Linked DNA regions of Struthio camelus. The main gene of each other region encodes a partner of the protein of the gene in region 2 in a complex. Links are inferred from orthologs where the notes say so. Each region holds a gene or a part of one and is shown on either strand. Other genes may lie near its edges.

Region 1 (7,083 bases), on a different chromosome or scaffold from region 2:
AGCATAATACTCCAAACTCATCAGCACCACCGCATCCCTGGTGCCCACCGCAACAAATTAGTCAAGCAAACCTACTTAAGAGTTAAAATGATGGCGTTTGTAGCAATTGAGACTGTGGAGCTGTTCAACCCTCCTCCTTGCTTAAAAAGGGAAGGGGGGGGAGGGTCGAATGAGTTCTCCCCTACCTACTCTTTATGCCAACATCAGCAAAGACTAAGATAACCTTTCTTTTTCCCCTCCTGCCCCCCTCAGCTCTTCAAGCAGCTCTATCTTTGCTTTGATCTTAGCTTAGGCTCAAACCCTGAGCGCCAGGTCCCCGCTGCCTCAGCGCGCCCGGCGCCGCTGCGAGGAGTTCCGGGCAGGGCCGGGCCGGGCCTCTCCCCTCCCGGCCAACGGCCCCGCCATGTCGGCCGCGCTCGCACCGGCGCTGCGCTGCGCTGCGCCCGCTGCCCGGCGCGCACCGACCGCTCCTGCCCACCCGCCTCCGCAGAGGACCCCCGCGGCCGCCATGAGGTGGCCCGCCGCGCCCCCTCACCTGTGGCGGCGGCGGCCGCAGCAGCAACGCCGCGCAGGGCCCCCAGGAGCCCCAGGAGCACCACGGCGCAAGGCGGCAGTCGCATGGCGCTGCGGAGGGAAGCGGAGAGGCGGCTCAGAGCGGGCGAGAGGCGGAGGCGGCGGCGGGAGGCACCGCGGCGCCCGGCCCGCCCCCGAGCCCGCCGTGAGGAGACGCCGCGGGGGGAGGGGCGGCACGGCACGGACCAGCGCGCGGGGGCCGCGGTAACGGTCCTAACCGCCGCCCCCACGGCTCTTTATCTTGCCCGGCCCAACCGCCGCCTCCGGCCCGCTGCTGCTTGGCCAGGCTTCCAGGCTGGGGAGAGGGGGAGGGAGGGGAATCTGTTTTTCTTAAAGCCTCCTTTTTTTTTTTCCTCTCTCTTTTCTTAACGTCCCCGCGGTTTGTTTCGCAGCGCTCTTGTCAAGTGCTGCGGAGCGCTCCCGCACACGGGAAGCGCTCTCGCAGCCGGCCCAGGCGCCTCCGCTTGCGGCCGTGATTCATGCGCACGGGACAGGGGAAGCGGGAGGCAAACTCAAAGTCTTCCCGCTTCTCGCCCTTGCTCTTTGGAGTTCTTGCCAATGCGAAGCTGCTCTCGTGAATATCTGCGCCTCGTTTATGAATTCAGGCAATAACCTAAACCTTGAGCAAGCGTAAGCCGTGCGCCATCACCCTCCCTCCCCTCCCCTCCCCTCCCCAGCTTTAATCCATTTTTCAGTTAACAGAATGTAAAATAAAGCTCTCATTCTGACATCCAACAAACAAAGAGATGCATACTGGTTCATGTTTAAGACTATAGTTATTTCAGTCAAATGGGTGAACTCTCTTCTGCCTACCTTTGCCTAAGGTCCTTCGGAAGGCAGCCTGTCTCAGTAAGGATATCTAGTTTACTGATTTTTTTTTCCTTCTGCCCAACAAGGTTCCTTAGGTCAAAATAAGTAACGTTGAAAGACTGTTAGGTTTAGCGCTTTGCTCTGAGCCACTGTCCGTCAGAGTCGGCGGTGAGACCTCGGCTGTTCTTTGTTCACGGCTCCACGTGCACACTACTTGCCCGTGTCGCAGAGGAACAGAGCCTGAGAGAGGCTTGTCTCATGCCGCGCGCCTCATTTATTCCAGGCTCACGCCAGCATCCGTTCAAATTGTGGAAGTCCAAAAAAAGCCCGTTCATTTCCAAAACAGCTGGAACTCCCTTAAAAATGAGCAGTACTTTTTGCTATACAACATAGCGCTTTGGTGACTTGGCTTTTTAACCAAGGAGTGCGAAGAAAACACGCATCCTAGTTTATGCATGCAGGCCAGCAAAATCAAGGGTGTAAGCCCGACCATATTATTAGAAACACACTTTTGTCAGAGTAGTTAATATGGGGGCAAAGAGGGTAGCTGGGGGAGCCTCAAGAAGATTCCTCCACAGACACATTGCTGCTGGGTGGCTGCACTCGCAGCTTCTCAGAAAAGTTAGTCAGAAGAGACCTCTGGAGGTCTCTAGCTAAACCGCTCACTTGAAGCTAGACTATGGCTGACACCAGATCAGATCAGCCATGGCTTCATCTAGCCAAGTCATACAGACCTTGAAGGCCTGAGAGCACACAGCCTCTCTGCGGGACCTGTCCCAGTGCCGCATTGCCCTCCTCGTGCTGAATAGATTTCCTAATGTTCACCTGGGCCCTCCCAAGGCCATAACCGTGGTCATCAGCAGAGGTCCCTGACTGGGGAAAAGCTAACGTTATACCCATCTTTCAGATAGGTGAGAAGGAAGAACTACAGACCAGCCAGTCAGCCTCACCTCCAGGAGCACATTCCTTCCCTTGGGATCCATTTCCAGTCGGGTGACGGGCACCAAGATAATCAGGAACAGACAGTGAAGATTTACCAAGGGCCAAACATTCTTGAACAACCTGATTGCCTTCTGCAGTTAAATGACTGGGGTGTGGACAAGCAAAGATTAGCAATGTAAAAATACTTAGACTTCAGTAAGGCTTTTGATGTCGTCTCCCACAGCAAAAGTATCAGCCAACTCTTTCAGGCCCTCTGGGTGCTACGCTGGTTATCAGCCACCAACTGGACATCAAACCATTGATTACAAGCTTGGAAGCCCAACGGTCCAGCTGATTTTCAATCCATCTAACAGCCATCTCATCCAGTCCGTACTCCCTGAACTTCCCAGTGAGAATGCTGTGGGAATACCTATATCAGAAGATTTTGTATCACAGACAGGATCATTATCCTGTAAGTTTATCTTTAGCTGTTCAATGACCAAAGCTAAATATCAGCGTACTGACTTGCACAAATTGGTATTTCCTATTTGGTAACCTGCAGGTATAGCAAACTCCTGCTGAATGTAAGCTGGACTGTTGAAGATATTACCACTCCTGGCTTTTTACCGCTCCTGGTCACTCGACATTATCACCTACTCAGCTCAAGTGCTGGAGTGGACCATCAGAGTGCTACTTCTGTCTTTATCCAGAGGCAGAAAGATTGTTGTACAGCAAAAGCTGTACACTTTGTGGCTCACCAGCCTTCTATTGTCAATAATACAAGAATTCAGTTTTTTACCGAACTACAATATCACGTGAGTATGTACTTGTGTCTCGGAGAGAAATAAATTGACTTGAAATGCCAGTTCTATACCGAATAGCACATTTTATAGTGCTTTTTCCTCTTCTGTCTCAGTACTTGCCCCTGTTGAACTACTCATAATACATTCTGGGCCGAGTTCTTGTCCCATTAAAATAAAATGATATTGCTCACCATGACTCTTAATGATACCTGGATTTGCCCTTGGGAACCTGTTCTTTCTAAGGCCCTTGTAACTGAATGCAAATTATCTAGAAGGTTGTAGTCAGCCTCTGGATGCCCCTATAGCTGCTGCTATCCCATGAGATTAGAGACATCTGTTCTGAAGCATTCATCATAGGTAACACTTGTGTTATGATATATTACTGATATGTGCAGAGCTGCTTCTCATTCTTACCATGAAGGCAGCTTAACAAAAATTCACTCCAATTTTTGCTTTCAAGTTACTAACTCAGACTAACCTAACTATGACCCTGATTGTGGGCAGAAGAGAAAGAGACTTGTGGTTATCCAGAAGCTAACAAAGCTGGCAGGACTGTGGACGGGCACGAGGGTCCGCGGGCAGGAAAGGCCCAGGCTAAGGTCCGAGCCTACCTTTCTAAACGTAATTACTTGACGTTGGGGCTGTGGCCGCAGCCCCGCAGAAGCGCCTGCGTTGTCTCTGTACAGCCCAGGCGTGCGTGCGCTGCCTGCCTCCGCACAAGCGGGTCAACAGCTGCAAACTGCACCAAAGGCAAGGAAGCAAAAAGCCTAAGAAAGTGGTTTCCTGCCGTTTTGAAAGGCGGGCTGCCCCGGTTCTTACCGCAGCGCCCCCAGCCCGGCCCCTGCCCCGCCGCAGCGCCGGGCTCCTCCCGGCCTGCAGGGGGCGCGCCAGGCGGCGCCCCCTCCCCCGCCCACCTTCTAACATCGAGGCGTCCCATTGGCTGCGCCGGCTGCCAGGCGCCTTGTCGGGAGGTGGGGGCGGGGGGGTGGCGGCGGCGGCGGCGGCGCTATGGCGGATCGGTTAACGCAGCTGCAGGACGCGGTGAACTCGGTGAGTGCCGCGCCGGGGGCGCCGCTTTCTTCCTTCTCCACCCCCCTCCTTGCTGTCCGCCGCCGCGCCCAGCCGTTGTTGGCCGTTGGGGGCGCGAGCGGGGCGCCTCCCGCTTCCCCCCCCCCGCCCCCGTCAGGGCGCAACAGCCGGCGGCGGCCCCGAGCCCCGGCGGCCCCGCTCGCCCTGGCGGTCGTGGGCTGCGGGTGCGCTCCCGCCTAACCCCGGGGGGCAGCTGTGCTGCCTGAGGGCCGCTGGGATGAAAAATAAGCCTGAAATGTCTTTAGACTGAAGTAATTTAACCCTCTCTTTACTGCCTGTAGCTCGCAGACCAGTTCTGTAACGCCATCGGCGTGTTGCAGCAGTGTGGCCCCCCTGCCTCTTTCAGCAACATTCAGACAGCAATAAACAAAGATCAGCCTGCTAATCCAACAGAAGGCAAGTCTTTATTTCTGGGTCTGCCCGCTCAGGGTGAACACGCTCTGGTACAGTATGCACAGTAATTCAAGATTTGTATTCTATTTTGTGCTTAGCAAGCATTATTCCAGCAGTAACTGGAGGAGTGATTCAGGTCAAATCATAAATTGATGTCAGCTGCACGTGCTGTATAAGAATTTTGTGTGTTAACTGAGTGTTGAAAAGCATTTCTTGTGCAGATACAGTAAGCCTTCAGATATAATAGGACTTTAATAGGACAGCTGTGAGATGCTTTTACTGACTTGTCCGTTATTTTGAAAATTTGTTTTTGAGAATGAGTGTAATTTTTATCAAATAATGCATGAGTTTAAAACTTTCCGTTTACAGTTTTAACTTTTCCTGTGTTTCTTCAGGCGTTGTCTGCTTATCTAATTGATTAAATAATACTACCTTGTTAAATCGCCCTCTTGGCATTTGGGGTTGGGGGTGGTGCTGAGAGAAAAGGATCTAATCTATGGCATTGCAACTGGAAAGCAGACTAAAAGACAGTTCTCTCCTCAATCTGAGAATTTAAAGTTAGTAATCAAATAAGCATGTTATTCTAATCCTGGGTACCTTTCAATGCTTCTGTGGATGTTCTGGTCAAAGCATTTTGCTAAATGATGATTTCTTTTTTGGCTGCTGTGTATTTTCCTGAGAAAATTTGCATGTATCTTGTATCAGATTAGATTTGACTATTGGGATATCAGGGGAGACTGGTTTGGAGCACAGTGATGCTCTTTTCAGGACAGCTGTTGTCTCATCCTTCATTGGTTTGCTCTCTGGTGTGGGAATTAGTTGGAGAAGGTAGCCGAAAGGTTGGCTCGCTTCCTCACGTCACTAGCTGCTGTCCCAGGTACTAAGTATCAACATGACGACTTTGGAGCTCAGAGGTTTGTTAAGGTCTTAAAATCATAGTCCATGATCATCTTTTGTTTTGTCTTGTCCTGAAGCTCTGAATAAAGTGAATTCAGTAAAATCGTACAGCCAAGTTAGCGATGCTGATCAGACCAGACTAAACTACTAGTTGCATGTCTTCAGATAGCTAAAGTCTTGATAAGAAGGCCTTAAAAGCATATAGAACACTTGTTTACAGGCCAAGAGTATATATGGGATGACACTGAGCAAGCTTTAATGATATGTGTTTTGTTTTGTTTTTTAATTAAAGTCAAGTCTACCTCTGAGAATGTCAATCTCTGCTATAGATCTTACCATTAGAAAATATTTTGTCTTGCTGCATGAAAGATCTTTGGAAGCAATCAACATAAAATGTGTAAGATCTTAAGCTATAAGCTAAGGAGGGATGTCTGAATATTTTAGCTAGAGTTATGAACTTCCAAGTCAAACTCAAGGTGATTTTCTGCCTTATAGGGCTTCTTTGGAAGAACTGTATGCACTTTTAATATGATTTTTGTAGCCAAAATAAGATCTATTACAAACTTGTCTCTTTTTCCTTTCTCCGTGACAATTAACTTTTCCTCTGGCTGATCTTTTTTCTTCTTCAAAAAATCTTCTCAGATTCTTTCACTAATGGTCTGTTCCTTGACATAATAACTTACTCTGTGCATTTGAATCTCTATTACTATTTTCATGTAATTTCTAGTGTTCTTATATATAGTGGCAGATTTGAAGGCAAAGATTGAAAGGTTAAATGAGTTGCTAGCTATTTCTGAATACTTAATGTAGCGACTAGGACACTTGATACCTTTCACTAGTAATTTCTGAAGTGGCTAACCATGATGGAGTTCTAGCTATTTTCTCATTTCTTAAAAGAAGCAGTGCAAGGAGAAATGTTAACACTTGAATGCTTCAGATCTTTTTAATATTCTGTACTCCATATGCAGAATTGTGCTTATTTCTAATAATGTATCGAGTAGGCTGATATTTATTTATTTATTTTTAAGAATACGCCCAACTGTTTGCAGCACTGATTGCACGAACTGCAAAGGATATCGATGTTCTAATAGATTCCTTGCCTAGCGAGGAATCGACAGCTGCTTTGCAGGTAAGAGCATTCTTAATTAAACTATCAAAACATAACTGAAGACAGCTTACTTGCTTTCTTTCAGCACACTTTCTTACTCTTCAGACCATGTAATTTTGAAAAATGGCTTCAATGTAAGCCTGAATTTTTCATGAGGTTAGACGATGAATTCTGTGTAGGCTCACTGGAAATCCTGCTTCTTGCATCTAGTTCTTAATTAAATTCTACGCAGTGTGAATATTTTAAACTTATTTTTCTCTTAGAAGGGTTTCAAAAAAAAATCTGCTTTTTGATAACATCACAGTATTCTAAGCAGCTATGTGTTTTTTTCCAGCTTTTCAAATACTAATACAGCAGATGCAACATTGGCTTTTTTTCTTGGATAACCTTTCATATTCTTCTGCCCATTAGATGTTTTGTTTTGTATCTGCAGAGTCAATGTTTTATTGAAGCCTTATGTTCTCCTACAACGTTACTAACTGTTAAAGG
Region 2 (7,015 bases):
GTTGCTGCAGGACTTGAGCAGGGCTCTGCCAGTGCTGCCCTCTCCGTGCTGACGGTCTTTGCTTCCTCTTCCAGGGGACCCTGGAGTGCCTGGAGGAGGAGCTGCTGGCCTTTTTCTCCGTCACCCCTCACTCAGTCTACACAGCACTGATGGACAACAGGTATTTCCACAGTCTCCCTTGTGCTCCCCGTATCTGATCCTTGAGTTTGCTGGGAGGAGCTGGGCAGGACAACACTTGGGGGGATGCTGGTCTGAGACATGCCAGCTCTAACTCTCCTGTTCCCCTTCTCCTCCAGCTTCGAGCGACTCCTGCTCCATGCGCTCTGCCAATACATGGACCTCGTCTCTGCCAGTAAGAGCCTCGCACTTGTTTGCTTGTGTTTTCCCCTTCTCTGCATTGCTATCTTTCCTCTCCAGCTCAGCCTCTTCCTCCCTTCCTCCTCCCAGCCCCACCTTCTGCTGCGGCTCACAGATAACCCTGCTTTCCTGCCCCCACTGCCTGTAACTCCTTCGGGAGCCTCAGCCACGCTCACGCTGCTTAGCCAGCAGCCGCGGCTGGTGGACGACATCGGTTACGGCCCGGGGTCAGGCAATCCCAGCGCTGCCTTGGCTGCAGTCCCCTTGCCCGCGTTGCCCTTGCCAAGGGTGCAGGGAGCTCTCCTGGGCTGACCTAACTGGGGCTGGATCCTGCCCCACATCCTGGGAGCTCAGCCCCTCTTGGGACTGAGCTGTCTCCTCGCACAGAAGGTTGCGCCTTGTCCCCACCATTTAGGCTTTACTCTGGGCTGAGCGTCCCTCCTGCTCCCGGTCGTCCTGTGCCTCTCCAGAGGCTCAGCGGCCTGGACGCCACGTGCGTGTGGCTTGTGTGGGCTGAAGTCCATCCGCCATGGTCGTGGCCAGGCCCAGCTCTGCCTAGGGACATCTCATTCCCAGCAGCGCAGCCACGTCTCCTCTTGTTTTTGGGTTTGGATGCTTGCCTGGCTCGCTCCTTGCGGCTGCTGTGTCGTCCCACAGAGCGCAGCCATGCCTGCACCTTGCCCATGGGTTTCTTTAAAGGGTCTTGTTGCCAAGGCATCCTACAAGAGGCGCTGGTCTTTGCCTCTGCAAATGAACCTTTGCCACTCAGCATTTCATTAGCAGCTGCTTGTGGAAAATGACAGAAGAGCTCTAATGATGTGAAGTGAAGCCTGTGGTGCCAGCAGGGATGTGTGGGGAGAGCGGACCGTTGCTCTTTCTGCATCTCTGCAGAGCATGGGGCAACCTTTGTTAGAAATGAGCTGCAGGGACTCATCGGGAGGAGTGGAGCAGCTGCGAGGAGAGAGCTGCAGCTGGGCCGGGGATGTCCCACTTGGCACCTTCCTGCAGCAGGATGCTGTGGGACCCCCTGGCTGAGGGACAGTGGTACCTTAACCGCTCTGACTTGCCCCCAGGTTCAGACATCGAAGGGAAACGCCAAATGAAAGTGAGCAACAAGCACCGCGTCTTCCTGCCCCCCGAGCTCTTGCTCTCAGACTACCTGGAGCAGATGAGCTGATACGCCGAAGGATGCCCTGCCCCTCGCTTGGTGTGCTGAAGGCTTTGTCCATCTGCTCCTGGCCTCTCCCAGTCGCTTGGTCCCTGTCACCCGGATAAGCCTGGTCTGCCGCTCGCCTCTCCCCTTGCGCAGCGCAGGGACCACAAGGCGCAGTGTGGATCGGCTCCCTCCATGTGCCCTGCTTCGGGGCTCTTCCCTTCCCCACCTCCAAGAGCAGATGCTCGAGATGACAGCCGCGATACGTGGTGCAGAGCAAGGGGCTTGCAGCCATGCCCTCCGTCCCAATGTAGCCCCGGGCCTGCTCCGAGGAACAGCGCTCTGATTCCCTCAGGAATACGTCGACTCGGCCCACAGGCTTGGTCACCGGCACGTGCACGAGGTGTGACCACAGTCTGGACAGCGCAGGGCTGAACATGGTGCACGCTGCCGTCCCAGCCTCTCCGGGTGCAGCCGAGGGGTGGAGAGGTGGGGTGAGACCTGCTCATCTTGTCACACCAAGGTGGAAGCGTTTGCTCAGCTGCTGGCATGCTTTCTGCAGAGGCCAGATTGTCTTTTTTTTTTCCCAGGCCAGCGCTCTCTGTTCTTAATCTGGCAGAGAGACTCCAGGCTGCATGGTGCTGTGAGATATCACCATGCTCAGGGCGCAAGGCGTGGGCAAAGCAGGTGCCTATCTGCCGTGCTTGCCCTGTTTCCCTGGTTGCTGCACTATTTCCCAGCAGGAGCTGCTCTGCCTGGAAGTGTTTGTGAGTCTATTTATAGCCCAGATGCTTTTAAAAATGAGCAGGCTGGACCAAAACCACCTTTGGCACTGTGATGCTTCCGGGGTGATTTTGGCCCAGGTATTTCTATGATGAAATAGTTCCTCACAGCTGCTGACTTCCTCGGCTCAGATGTGGCTGAGCAAACGCTGAGCAAGTGGAAGAGCCTCTGATCTGTCGCCCTCTTGAAGGGGAAAGTGCTTTGCTTCAGGACCAGCAGTTTGACACCAGTGATGGAGCTTATGGTAAAGCTCAGCCCCTGCCCATCTCCTCAGTAAAGGGACTGAAAGCAGCTTTGTGAGAAAAGAGCTGCCTCGGTTCTGGAGTCACACCCAAGACCAAGGACTGGAGAGTGATCCAGAGGAGCAAGAACATTTGGACCTGGGTTGATAGGGACGGGAAAGAGATTTCTGCCTAAAGGGAAGCCTCTGGGCCTGAGCAGCAGGACTGGGCATCCCTTCCCCGGTCTGAGCTCCGGGACTCTTGCCCCGGTGTTTAAGCGCCGCAGCGGGAGGCAAAACTCTCCTGCAGAGCCCCCTTGGTCTCCCGGCCAGCCTGGTCCGAGCTGCTGCTGCTGCTCTGGTTTGCAGTTGGTGTGAGAAGCTGGTGCGCAGACCTGCCTTTTATATTTGGGGGGTAATGGGCTGTTTTTAAATGTAACATAGTGTGTCTTTTATATGTTTGTGTGTGTGCGCCAGCACAGCTCCAGGCTGTGTGGTCGGAGCTCCTGCTGGTTGCCCGTCTTGCTTGGCTGGGGCAGGGCTCAGCCTCCCGGCGTGGTCGTGCGGGACGGGCGAGGGTGCTTGTGGGTGTTGTGTGTCCTGTGTGTTGGTGCGTGTCTCTGCTATGTGTCGAGGGCTCCTCTCGTGTCTGTAGCAGCTAGAGACATGCAGGACGGCGGAGCTCGCTCGGCCGGGCAGAGGAGCGCTGCTGAGGATGGGGCAGCGGCGTGCTGGGCCGTTGCCTGCCGCGGATGGAGTGGGGCTGGGGGGGAAAGCCGGGAAAGTCGTCGCTCCTCTCGTCTGTTTGCGTGATGTGGAAACAGGTGGCGTTTACGCAGGAACAATAAACCATGGTGCTCCTGACGGCTGCTGGTGTTGCGTGCATGGTGTTGGGGCTGCCCTGGGGGTTTGGGAGTTGGGGCACGGGCTGGGGTTTGGGGCAGAGGTTGGGATGCAGGAGGGGGGAATTTAGGGAGCAGAGGGGGGACCCTCTTCTGGCTCTGCCTGAGAAAAGGCATGGCTGGGTGAAAAAAATATGGAACGCTTCACGAATTTGCGTGTCATCCTTGCGCAGGGGCCATGCTAATCTTCTCTGTATCGTTCCAATTTTAGTATATGTGCTGCCGAAGCGAGCACGAAACCCGGTGTCCCCCCGAAGCTATTTATAGCTCCCTCATTAGATAATACACTGGTTAGGGTGATACAGAGGTAGCGTCACTAGGCACTTTTGAATGCCATCTTAACAACTTCTCCTATTCTAAATGACTCACTTTTCTTTGATTTCGCCAGACTCGTCCAAATCCACCGGTTATAATTCCTCCCGAAGCGCCGGTGGATCCTGGGTAGCCCTCTATGTAAATTAGCACGGCTGTCTCGCCGAGGGGGCCTCTGTCTCGGGCTGCCCGCGGCAAGTGCCTGAGCGCCCCGCGCGGGGCAGGGCGGGGGCTCTGCACAGGCGCGCGGCAGGCAGCCCGGCGGGGGCGGGGGGGCGGACGGGGTCCTTCCGGCGCGGCGGGAGGCGGCGCGGGGCCGCGGACGGTGAGTGGGGCCGCTCCCGCCGCCCCCCCCCCCCGGGCAGTTCCCCCCCCCTCGCCCCCCCCGGGGGGCAGCGACCGCCCCCGGAGGCGGATACCCCTCCCTCACCCCGGGGAGGCCGGTTCCTCCTCCCTTACCCCCCTTTTGGGGGGGGCACCGACCGCCCCGAGGGGGCCCTTCCCCCTCCTTCACCCCGGGGGGGGCAAATCCCCCTCCCCCACCCCCCGAGGGGCCCGGAGTCCCCCCAGGGGGGCAGTTCCCCCCCCTCACCCCGTATAGGGGTTGGGTGTCCTCCCTTGTTCCCCTCGGGGGCAGCTCCCCCTCTCCCCAGCCCTCCGTGGAGGGCAGCCCCCCCCCCACAACAGACAGTTCCCCCCCACCCCTGTCAGAGGGGCTTGTGCCCTTCCCCTCCCCCCCCAGCTGCTGGGGGGGGGTTGGGGCAGCCCGGCCCCTGCGGATGAGGTGCTGTTGGGGCCGGGCAGGTTTCGCTGGGGGAGCTGGTTTAACTGGGCCTGTGTCTGTGACTTGTAGAACTGGCTGGGTTTTTTGCATCTAAAAGGCACCTTTTTCCGCTTTCTGTAGGCACCGAAAGCTGTGTGTCTGCTTCCCATGGGCCAGCGGGGCCTCTGGGGGTTACCCGAGGCGCAATGGATTTGGCATATGTCTGTGAGTGGGAGAAGAGGCCGAAAAGCAACCACTGTCCTTCCATCCCCTTAGTGTGTGCTTGGTCCTGCAGAAACCTGATCGCTTTCACCACAGACCTCAAAAATGAGGAGGAAAAAGGTACAGCGTGCTTGCGAAAGGTTGCTCAGTAACATGGAAACTTATGCTTCTTCCTTTTTCTAACATTCCTGAGATTTAATGAGTGTTTCATTCACTGGTGAGTGGTTCTCAGGCTCTGCGGAACCAGGGCGAGTTCTGCACTATTACCAGTTATCTCACCTGAGCTGCCAAGCGCAGTTATTGTCCTTCCCATAATTGTTTGACAGAAAATAGTCTGTGGCTCCCCCTGCATCAGCTCAGGATCTGTGGGTTGAGAAACACTTGCTAAGGAGTTAGTAACGAGGCACAGTGACTCATTTCTCTCTTCATGCAGATCTCACCCACATGGTCCACATCATTGACACGGAGCATCCATGGGATGTCTATTCTGTTAACTCTGGCCACGTTGAAATCATCACTTGTTTGGAATGGGATCAGTCAGGTGAGTTTGGATCCTTTCTCATTATCCCTTTGTTCCACCCTTCCTTCATGCGCACACAGGTCATAAAACGATGGTGCGTGATAGCTTGTAGAAAGGGATTTTGTGAGTCTTTCTGTTTTGACTGCATGTGCCGTTAGGGGTTGTACTGCACCCATCGTTTCATAGCCATTAATTGTTTGACTCTGGTAAATCTGCACTGGGATATTTTGATTTCTTGATTCCTAGTGATTTTTTTTCTGTACCCACTGGTTCTAACGAGGCTGTTTTACTGTAGGCTCCAGGCTCCTCTCGGCAGATGCAGATGGACACATTAAATGCTGGAGCATGACTGATCACTTGGCCAACAGCTGGGAGAACACTGTGGGCAGTATGGTGGAAGGAGACCCTGTTGTGGCCCTGTCCTGGCTACACAATGGTGTGAAGCTGGCTCTGCATGTGGAAAAGGTTTGTCTCAGCTGTGCATGGGGATCCAGTGAGGAAAGCTGGCTCAGGTTGTTAGCAAAGGACTTGGGAAACCTATGTTTATGACCCTACTCTGCCATGGTTTTTCTCCGTGACCTTGGGCAGGTCAAGCAGGGGAATTTTTAAAGTCAAAAAAGGAAACTCAGATTCCTAGTTCCTGCTGAGTTGCAGCAGGAATTAAATACCTTGTTTCTCTTGGTGCTTTAAACATGTCTTTCTTAGTCTGTCTGCTTCAGTGTCCTTGGCTGTAAAAGGGAGATAAAAAGCATTTCTTTGCCTACCAGCGATATTGTGGAAGAAATGCATTCCAGGTCATGAGCTTTGATCCAGGGATTTGGTAATGACAGCTGTATGCGTACATAGATAAGCTGCTTGTTTAGCAACATGTCTAATTCTGTCAGGCTCACAAAACAGAAAATCTGCCAAGTAGAAGCTACCTGCTTACGTTTTTAAAATGTTTACTTCTGCAGTGTTCCAATGAGAGAAATGTTTCCCTCTCTTTAGACCTCGGGGACCTGAGGCACAGAAACTTAAGGGGCTGTGCAATAGGTTAGTGTCAGAGCTGGAAATGGCCGCAGAAGGGAGAGGGGGCATTGGCTCTTCCAGGTTCAGTCTGCGTATATGAGGTAGGAGCTCTCTGAGATGCTCTGAGAGCTTTGCTGAGGGGTTGATAAGTTCCTGCTGCTGCCTGTAAAACCAGAACTGCCCTGACCCAGGGAGAAAGGGGCTTCTGCAAGGTCACAGCACAGAGTTGGACATATGAACTCGATGCCCTGATTTCAGCCTCTGTTCAGCTCCCCAGACCATGCTGCAGTGACTTAGAGGAGAGCCATGCAGTTGTAGGTGCGTTGCAGATATCAGATACAAACGTCCTTGTGTTATTTATCTTCTCTTACAGTCTGGAGCATCAAACTTTGGTGAGAAGTTTTCCAGGGTCAAGTTCTCTCCGTCCCTGACTCTGTTTGGCGGGAAGCCCATGGAAGGCTGGATTGCCGTGACCATCAGTGGTCTGGTGACAGTATCTCTCCTCAAGCCCAATGGGCAGGTGCTGACATCCACAGAGAGCCTGTGCCGTCTCCGTTGTCGTGTTGCCTTGGCAGATGTTGCCTTCACTGGCGGTGGGAACATTGTGGTGGCCACGTCAGATGGCAGCAGCACCTCCCCTGTCCAGTTCTACAAAGTCTGCGTCAGCGTGGTGAATGAGAAGTGCAAAATAGACACTGAAATCCTGCCGTCCCTTTTCATGCGTTGCACCACAGACCCTGCCCGCAAAGACAAATATCCAGCAATCACTCACCTG

What was found. Proteins that work in one complex are often made in the same cells at the same time.
Region 1: MED16 (region 2) and MED21 share a complex: the UniProt entries of both Homo sapiens proteins name them as parts of the mediator complex. The link is inferred for Struthio camelus from reciprocal best matches to the Homo sapiens genes MED16 and MED21.

Annotation. Positions count from the first base shown.
Region 1 is NC_090942.1:77,129,352-77,136,434, forward strand, and holds the start of MED21 (mediator of RNA polymerase II transcription subunit 21), read left to right. Parts: upstream 1-4,076; 5' UTR 4,077-4,115; coding exon 4,116-4,157; intron 4,158-4,477; coding exon 4,478-4,592; intron 4,593-6,514; coding exon 6,515-6,615; intron 6,616-7,083. Other genes in the region: TM7SF3 (transmembrane 7 superfamily member 3), read right to left, coding at 536-620. UniProt on the Homo sapiens protein: Component of the Mediator complex, a coactivator involved in the regulated transcription of nearly all RNA polymerase II-dependent genes.
Region 2 is NC_090967.1:7,420,144-7,427,158, forward strand, and holds the start of MED16 (mediator of RNA polymerase II transcription subunit 16), read left to right. Parts: upstream 1-3,996; 5' UTR 3,997-4,052; intron 4,053-4,631; 5' UTR 4,632-4,696; coding exon 4,697-4,832; intron 4,833-5,145; coding exon 5,146-5,253; intron 5,254-5,527; coding exon 5,528-5,697; intron 5,698-6,613; coding exon 6,614-7,015. Other genes in the region: R3HDM4 (R3H domain-containing protein 4), read left to right, coding at 75-160, 297-352, 1,431-1,534. UniProt on the Homo sapiens protein: Component of the Mediator complex, a coactivator involved in the regulated transcription of nearly all RNA polymerase II-dependent genes.